2 linked regions of the Oryzias latipes genome follow. The protein of the gene in region 1 purifies or fractionates together with the protein of each later gene. This does not show direct contact. Links are inferred from orthologs where the notes say so. Each region holds a gene or a part of one and is shown on either strand. Other genes may lie near its edges.

The links. The genes of interacting proteins can lie anywhere in the genome.
Region 2: the proteins of plk1 (region 1) and bora purify together in Homo sapiens (affinity purification with mass spectrometry; 12 studies listed by BioGRID and IntAct, counting the BioPlex papers as one, with this or other methods). This does not show direct contact. The link is inferred for Oryzias latipes from reciprocal best matches to the Homo sapiens genes PLK1 and BORA.

Annotation. Positions count from the first base shown.
Region 1 is NC_019859.2:22,726,331-22,730,696, reverse strand, and holds the start of plk1 (serine/threonine-protein kinase PLK1), read left to right. Parts: upstream 1-1,529; 5' UTR 1,530-1,931; coding exon 1,932-2,294; intron 2,295-2,639; coding exon 2,640-2,808; intron 2,809-2,993; coding exon 2,994-3,138; intron 3,139-3,226; coding exon 3,227-3,320; intron 3,321-3,410; coding exon 3,411-3,636; intron 3,637-3,742; coding exon 3,743-3,785; intron 3,786-3,860; coding exon 3,861-3,958; intron 3,959-4,046; coding exon 4,047-4,124; intron 4,125-4,211; coding exon 4,212-4,366. UniProt on the Homo sapiens protein: Serine/threonine-protein kinase that performs several important functions throughout M phase of the cell cycle, including the regulation of centrosome maturation and spindle assembly, the removal of cohesins from chromosome arms, the inactivation of anaphase-promoting complex/cyclosome (APC/C) inhibitors, and the regulation of mitotic exit and cytokinesis.
Region 2 is NC_019873.2:18,607,665-18,612,021, forward strand, and holds the start of bora (protein aurora borealis), read left to right. Parts: upstream 1-1,513; 5' UTR 1,514-1,634; intron 1,635-1,861; 5' UTR 1,862-1,866; coding exon 1,867-2,016; intron 2,017-2,176; coding exon 2,177-2,283; intron 2,284-2,813; coding exon 2,814-2,859; intron 2,860-2,964; coding exon 2,965-3,043; intron 3,044-3,145; coding exon 3,146-3,190; intron 3,191-3,308; coding exon 3,309-3,365; intron 3,366-3,439; coding exon 3,440-3,711; intron 3,712-3,894; coding exon 3,895-4,057; intron 4,058-4,144; coding exon 4,145-4,357. Other genes in the region: mzt1 (mitotic-spindle organizing protein 1), read right to left, coding at 927-1,072, 1,178-1,229. UniProt on the Homo sapiens protein: Required for the activation of AURKA at the onset of mitosis.

The sequences.
Region 1 (4,366 bases):
AAAAAGGAAAACTTTAGTTAGAAGCTTTGGAGAAGTTTGAAATATTATTCTAGCCCACAGGCAGAGCTCAAATAAAAACATGTGGCTCTTGAATAAGTAATGCTACCTCCAAACTACTGAACTGTATTCCTTTACAACCTCTGATGGTTTATAAACGGTGTGTTTGTAGCCTTAGGATGCACCGGTGCAAGCAAGTCCCCGCAGTCTTCAGGTAAGCATCCCCTCAACAAGCTGTGTTTTGAGTTAGTGTCCCATAACCATTCCCCCTTTACACTCTTAACCCAAATTAATTTACCACAAAATGTTGATCAGCCAGCAACCAGCAATCTATTAACTGGTTACCCCAACTACCATGCAGTGGTGGATAAAGAAAAAAAGAAATGAAAACCTTAGGGGAAAAACAACTTTTTTTTTTTTTTTTAGCTTGGCATGTTGAAACCAAACAGTACAGTCAATATCCAAATGTAAAAAATTGGGAATCTTCATGTATTCTGGAGTTATTATTTAAGTATAGGCATCAACAGGTTAACCATCATGATCAGAAAGTGAAAGTCCTTAATTTCATCATGTTAACATCTTGTCAAATAAACAATAATCTTGGTATCACAAAAACGATGTGACTTTTTTTTAGTGTGGCAAGACAGATTAAACCATTACTGCAGGTTTACTTTCTCATATTGCTTTTGTTACACTATATTTTACTGCTTCTCACCATTTTATGCTTTCCAGCATAAATAATCTTTCAAGTTAAACCCTGAGGCTTTTTTGCTCAAAATCCTTTTTGAATTTCAACCAATCTAGAGTGAAAAATATCCTCCTCACTACCGGCAATAAAAACTTGTCCCCATAGTGGACATTTCTAGACCTGAAAATTATTCAACCACTGCAATTACTGAATGAACTCCTTTTGGTATCTACAGAGGGCATTTGTGGCTTTTCAATGATTACAATGATACACTTAGAATGCCGATAGCACTGTCTGAGAATTTGGTTTGAAACAGTATTTAATGGTTGTTCTAACAGAGTAGAAATTAAAAGAAAACATGAGAAGAAAGCAAACACTCACATGTTTCTCAATTTATGAAAAGTTGAAAGTTTTTCAAGGAAGTGTGGCGCAAGATGAGTGTACACAGTCAGCATGGCAATCAATAAAAATAAAAGTGTATAACCTGAACCAACAATGTCTGTCAATAAAAATCCATCCAAAAAGTGAAAATGACAAATTCATAAAAAACTCATAGTCTAACAAAGATTAAATAAACTTCATATGATCCTCTGCATTCATGTAATATTAGTGTTCAACTAATAACATGAACCTAAATGATCGATATTGGATCAGGAGTGGCCATAATTCGGATAACGCTAATAACAAAACACTTTCGAAATTAAATCCTTTTCCCGACTACATTTCCCATCCGTCTTTCTCGAGGAAACAAAAACAGCCTTTCAGCCAATCAGATTGTTGGAGGCCTTCTACTCTACTCCTGATTGGCTATTTTTGTACACATGTTCCCAAGATGCTTTGCTGTGACGCTGTGGAATTCAAATCTAGCAGACCAATCAACGATCGCCAAAACGACCGAGCCAGCATTTTAAATTTGTACGAGACACTTGTTATCGAAAAGGCAGAACGGGACAAGGCAACCGCTGCCGGGGAAGTCTGCGCAAGAATTCTGCCTCCGGTTTTTTTTTTAATTAATTTATTTAATCTTGGGACCTGTCGGCCTTTAAATGTTAGTCAACGTTTGCGGTTTAGATCGTTTGTTAGTATTTGCTGTAAATTGAGGCGTAGAAAAAGTTAGCTTCGAAGGCTAAACTAACGTCGGTTGAGTTGGAGGGTTAAACAACACTTTAGCCCTTGTTTAATAACTTTTGCGTTTCGACTTCTTTGGAGTTTTATTAACGCGGAAAGAGCACTTTTAAAGTACACCATGAGTGCTGCTATCGCAAAGCCGGCGCAGCCGTCCGGACACGTCGACCCAAAATCGGCTCCTCTGAAAGAAATCCCAGAGGTTTTGGTGGATCCCCGCACCCTGAGGAGATACTCCAAGGGCAGGTTCCTCGGCAAGGGGGGCTTCGCCAAATGCTTCGAAATTACAGACATGGAGACCAAGCAGGTTTTCGCTGGCAAAATAGTGCCCAAGTCGTTGATCCTGAAGCAGCACCAAAGGGAGAAGATGAGCTCGGAAATCTCCATTCACAAGAGCCTCAATCATGCTAACATCGTGGGCTTCCACGGCTTCTTTGAGGACGACGACTTTGTCTATGTGGTCCTGGAGATCTGCAGGAGAAGGGTGAGGATTTTGGGAACTCTAAATGAAAATACATGAAGGCCAACGGTTAACAATGTGGCCTCTTCCGTTACCCCCCCCCCCCCCCCTCCTTTGGCATAGTGCTGGGAGACTCAAATCCCCTGATCACTGCTTTAAATCACTGTTACTTATCCTAAACCAGTAACTTTTTGTAATTTAAAACTATAGAGATATCTAAATTCTTTTTCCCCTTTGTGTTGTTCCACGTGTTGTTTTTAACACTTCTTGAGGTGCCACTTCACTTCATCCAGCTTGTTCATGCTCTCCCAGCCTCCATTTTCCTCCACTGAGTTCAGCCGCTCACCAGAACTGTTGTCCTTTTTCAAGTCCCTGTTGGAGTTGCACAAGCGCAGGAAGGCGGTCACGGAGCCGGAGGCTCGCTACTACATGACCCAGCTGCTGAAAGGGGTCCATTATCTGCACAGCAACAAGGTCATCCACAGAGACCTGAAACTGGGGAACATCTTCCTCAACGACGACATGGAAGTCAAGATAGGTATGGAGAGCAGGAAACCTGTCGGTGTAGTGACAAAGAAACGGGCACACCCATGTTCTTGATATGCTCCCATAACTTCCTTGTTGAGAACTTCCAGCTCCAATTTGTTAACACCCATATTTGGCTTCTTAATATCCTTTACTCAGATTAAACGCTGATCATTTCTTTCTTTCCTTTTTTGCTAGGTGACTTTGGTTTGGCCACAAAGATTGAGTTTGATGGTGAACGGAAGAAGACCTTGTGTGGAACGCCCAACTATATCGCTCCGGAAGTGCTGTGCAAGAAAGGCCACAGCTATGAAGTGGATGTCTGGTCACTTGGGTGCATATTGTAAGTGTGTAAACCCACAGTGGAGTGGGGAAGAGTGTCATTCCACAGGATTCTGGATACTCAACTTCCTTCCTGTATCCTCTCATAGGTACACTTTGTTAGTCGGCAAGCCTCCGTTTGAAACCTCATGCCTGAAAGACACATACAACCGGATCAAGAAGAACAATTACACCATCCCCTGGGTGAGAAGAGCTGACGTTAATCCCTAAATGTACGTAATAGTTGGTGAAAGAAAATCTTAAGTTTACCGTCACTTCACTTGAATGCTGCAGCAAATCAACCCGTCAGCCTCGGCTCTCATCAAGAGGATGCTGCATGCCGATCCTGCCCAGAGGCCCACCATCACTGACCTGCAGACGGATGAGTTCTTCACATCGGGATACGTCCCCCTGCGGCTGCCCACCACTTGTCTCACTGTGCCCCCGCGGTTCTCCATTGCCCCCTCCATGGCTGCAGAGCTCAGCCAGAGGCGCCCCCTGACTGCCATAAACAACAAAGGTAACAAACCCAACAATTGCCCAAAACTGGTGCACTGATAATGAAAGTCTGCAGTTAATCAACAGTGATATTGATGGAGGTTTTTTTTATATATTTTTTTTCTCAGCCGGCACAGAGAAGGTGGACATGAAAGACGAGCCTGCTCCACTGTGAGACATCACACTAAGGTCTAAAACATGCGTCGTAGTTTGATCAAAAATGATAAATGGGAATTTTGTGTGCAGAGAGGCGGAGCCAGAAGAATGTTACCTGAAGGACATGCTGCAGCAGCTCAACAGCATCATCTCTGCCAAGCCTTCAGAGAAGGCGGTCATTCGGCAAGGTGAGAGCAGCCGCCTGCAGGAACTACCTAAACTTTCTGCAGTTTTAGTCAGTCCTTCTTACAGAAAACCCCTTGTCTTTGATTTCAGAGGAAGCAGAGGATCCTGCGTGTATTCCCATCTTTTGGATCAGTAAATGGGTCGACTACTCTGACAAATATGGATTAGGTAAATTCTAAATCTTAGGACAGGTTTGCCTTTTATTGTCTTGCTTTTAATGGAGAATTAAGGGTGTGCTGTAAATTGCTTTCGCAGGATACCAGCTTTGTGACAACAGTGTTGGTGTTCTATTCAACGATTTCACCCGACTCATCATGTATGCTGATGGCGACAGTCTGCAGTACATTGACAAGAAGGCTGCTGAGTCCTATTTAAGCGTTCGCTCATTCCCTGCTTCTCTCAACAAAAAG
Region 2 (4,357 bases), on another chromosome or scaffold:
TAAAATATTTGAGTTTACACTTTAAAGCTTAGAGTATCGTTGGGTTGATGTGGCAAGGATGATAAAATATTTAATAAATTTAAATAGTAGAAAATATTCTAAAGAGAAAAAAAAATCAAGTTTAAGGATTCACTAGTATGTGGGCATCAATCAAACAACTTGTGTTAAATAAAAGTCAAAATACTGAAATACTTTAATACCACAGCTCTATTTTCTAATGATGGGACGAGCGACACCTTGTTTACACTCTCCCGCTAACTGAGTCCCTGACAACCCCAAGCTCACACTAGCGGTGCAACAAATATAGTGAACAATATTTGAGCCATCCACCTGAACAGCTTTGATCCAGATTCCAGCTCAGACGAGGAAAACAAAAATGTACATAAATTTATTCATCTGCCAGTGGAGGCATCAGACTAGAGCAGAGCAGGGAGTTTGGCCTAATGGCTGTTGTTTCTATGTCACAACTGCAAGTTTTTCAAACTGCATTATTTGACTTCTCCGGTTTCTTAATTAAGAAATAATCAAAAATGCTGTTTTAATGTTAATTTTCTATTATATGTAATCAATCATAAAAAAGTGCTACAAGAACATGTTAAAAACACCAAAAATGCCGTTCTTATTTTATTTACCTGCAATGATTTCAGAATTACTGCAGGGGTCACTAGAGAGGGAGCAACACTATGTCAGAGTCAACAGTTTGGGAGATGTGTCAAACTCATTAAAGCATCATCAACCCATCACTACTATTTACACTGATATGATGTTTATCATTACAGACTTTAATGTAAAAATAAAAAAACAATGACACTCAAGCTTAACAAATGGTTTCCAAATGGTTATAGAACTCGCGATAACACTAAAAGAAGAAAAAAACACGGACATAAGTTTTGGTCTGTAATGAGATGTGGTAGTTTCTCTTCTACCTTCAGAGACTCTGAAGCTTTTCGGAGCTCCTTGATGACAGCAGACAGAGCTTCAGGGTTGATGCCTTGCTCACACAGCCTCACACAAATGGACAAGGACTCCATATCCAAACCAGTGTTTAGCAGTCTTGAAATCTCTAGCAGAACTGTTCAGGAAAAGCGAAAAGTTTAAAATTAATAGAATGATTTAATGATAATCTTGAAATTCTTATTAAATATGCTAATATGTGCACACAAGTTAAAATATTTACCGTCCATAGTCTCCCGGACTGCGTTCAGGTTAGCATTAGCTGCACTTGCCATTACGATGACGCTAGTTAGCTAGCTAGAACTTGCTAGCAGATACACAACAGCTTATATGTTACCCTGATAAAACGTTGATGAAAACAATTCAATTAAACAACACGGCCGCGTTTAAAATATCTCATATTTGCTTTACTCGGATTCTGACATACGATAAAATGCCGCATTAGCATTTAGCTTGCATCAAAGTTGATGCACCGTCCGCAAACTAGCAGCGGAAATGACGACACAGATGTCGCTATTGGTCCTCAACAACTTTCTGTAACGATTCTATTGGTTGGCTGGCTCCGTGGACGAAATTGAAATAAACGTTTGAATTGTTCTCTTCCTAATACCACTGTGGAGTCGACAGGGGAAGACTTTCTCTTGATTTAGTCGCTTTACAGTCCAAGTCAGATAAAACATGTAAGTACCAGGGGCGGAAAACAATTACATAGTCAGTGTCGGTAAGGATTAAATTATGGGTGTTATGTTGTTTTTGAACTGATTTTAAAACTGTTGTTTTCCTTGCAAGCTAACATCACAGCTAGCTAACGGATCGAGTAAAAAAAATACATGTTGGTTTACACTTAAAATGTTTTTAAGTGTACTTTGTAATACATTTTCTTTATAACTTGAATTTGAATTTTCAGCCAGGATGGGGGACCGTATCGAGCTAGAGATAACTCCAGAGACTCCGGGCAGGCCTTCCATAAGAAACCCCTTTGAGAGTCCAAATGATTACCACCATCTCCGGGAACCCTTGGTTCCAAGCCCATCTGTTTTTAAATCCAAGTCCTGTAAAGCTGTAAGTTTAATTTCTTACCCACAACTTATACTAAAATTGAATATTATTTACACAGTCAAGCTGAAACCGGTTTTTGCAAGTGTGTTTTGCAATTTTTACTTCGAGAAATGTGTCTTAAGGCTGCTGTGTAGTTTTGTCTCATATCTTGTCTTTTCTGTAGACCCCTCCAAGATTTAACTGGTCTATTGATGAAATGGCCAGCCTTCTCCCAGTGCACATAGACCCAGAAGAAATCCAGCGACAGTCTTTTTACCTCAGCCAGACAAGGTGTGTCCTGAATCCCTTATTTTGTTAACAGTGGCAAATCTTTGATTGCATTCCAGTCTTAAATATTTGGCAAATTACAAACTGTAATTAAACTAAGGCTGCACGATATCAGGAAAACTCGCGATATTGGTGATCAATATTGCGATGACGATGTGACTTACGATACATGAACCCAAAGTAAAACATGAAACAACTAATACATCTTTTTCATTTCACTGCAACAGTTTTATCAAAATAAAAGTCAGTATAACTTGATTTATACTCCAAATGATCTTTTACCTGATAGGAGGGAAGCATCTAACATAAAAGGGCTCCATCCAATTAGTCAAAAGCTTAACAGGCTATTTTGAATTTGAAACACTTCAAGCTGCCATAAGATTGTTTAGGCATGTGTGTAAACATTTATGGTATGATTTATTGCACTGTCTTCTGCGATACGCATACTGCACAGGCTGATAACAAGATGGCGATAGCTCTGTGATTTATTGTGCAGATCTAAATACCTAAATTATTTTCTTATTATATTTCAGGACCGATTCTGATGTTGAAGAAAAATTTCAGAGTGCTATTGAGCAGGTTTTGGACTTTAAAAGCAATCTTTTTTTAAAATTGCAATAATTCAGTAGAAGTCTTGTTGACAATTTACTGATTTACTCATGTCTTTTGTCTTGCTGAATAAAGTTTTTTACCAAAGGAGCCATAGTGCCTTCTCCTTGGGCAGCAGCAGAAACTCGCAGAGCCCCTCATATTTATAAGAAAAGTAAGATATCCAACTGTTTGGAATAATAACTTTCAAGTATTCCTTGTTTTTAGTAATATTAATGTGTATTTAACCATTTGTTGTTTTGTCTTGTTGTTTTAGGTCCCTTGTCTGAAACAGCTGCAGAACAGACAGAAAAAATCTCAGGTTGGTGCATGTTCGTATTAAAAAAAAAGAAAAAAAGAAGGGATCTAAAATTATTAGAATTTGTTAAATTTGTTCATTTGCTTTAGTTTTCCATAAACTGCATCTTTTTATCTTACAGTTGGTTGCCAGACGGTCCTTTCGCTGCCTTCAACATTTGATTTGGAAAAACTACTTGGTAAGCTTCTGTTAAATGTAAGAGGAGAATCATTGAAATGAAAGTTTTAAGTCACATTTCTTTCTTATTCTTAGGAGAATATTACCGTAACGATGAGGCTTGTGATGCAGTGCAGGAGAGCCTCAGTTCCTCCTCCTTGAGGAGAAAACTCTTTCTCGATGGACAGTTTAGCTACAGCAGCTCTGACAGCTCCACTCCACCGAGTCCAGAAAGAGCTCATGTCCGAGCTGAGAGGCTTCCTACCAAAAGACAAGGAAGCGGACCGAGACCCATGTGCTCTGAGGGAGAAAATCCAGTTTTTTCTTCTCCTTTGTCATGCGGGATCTCTGCCCCGACTCCTTCTACTGTAAGTTTCAGTGTGTCAAAAAATAGAGAATTGGGTTGCCAGGTATTTTTTTTTTAAATGGGTCATAGGATAGAAATCATGTAAAGCTGTAAAAAATGAGTATCTTTTGCCCCTTTAAATGTTTGCATAAAAATAGATGAAGACATGCATGACTAAAATTAGCTTTACTTCTCTTAAACGAAGGGCCAGTTCTCCTCTAGTCCTATCCAACATGGCTGCATCAGGGACTGTAGCCTTGGCAGTATTGGCAGCCCTCTGTTTCCTGATAGATCATCTCCTGCTGGCCATGGTTCCCCAACAATCTCTCCAATTCTTGCTGATTTTGCACACACTCCTGTAGGCTCAGGTAGAGCATTTCACTGTTTTAAAAATGTAAATATTGCTGGATTATATTTGGCTTTTTATCCTTAATCTGTGCCTGTTCTCGTGTTAGTTGAAAGAAAACAGCGATGCAACGTGACCCCACTGTCTATTCCCCTGGATGTAGATGTCAGCTCCTGCAACGAGAGTCCCTTTGTTGAAGGTTGCTCTCCAATTCGTAGCTGCTCCCCACACCAGCTCCAACATCACAAGGAGCCTCCGCGCGTCTCCAGAACCAAACCTAGAGTCCGTGTCTGGGCTTCCCCTCCACTCATTTCTCCAATTC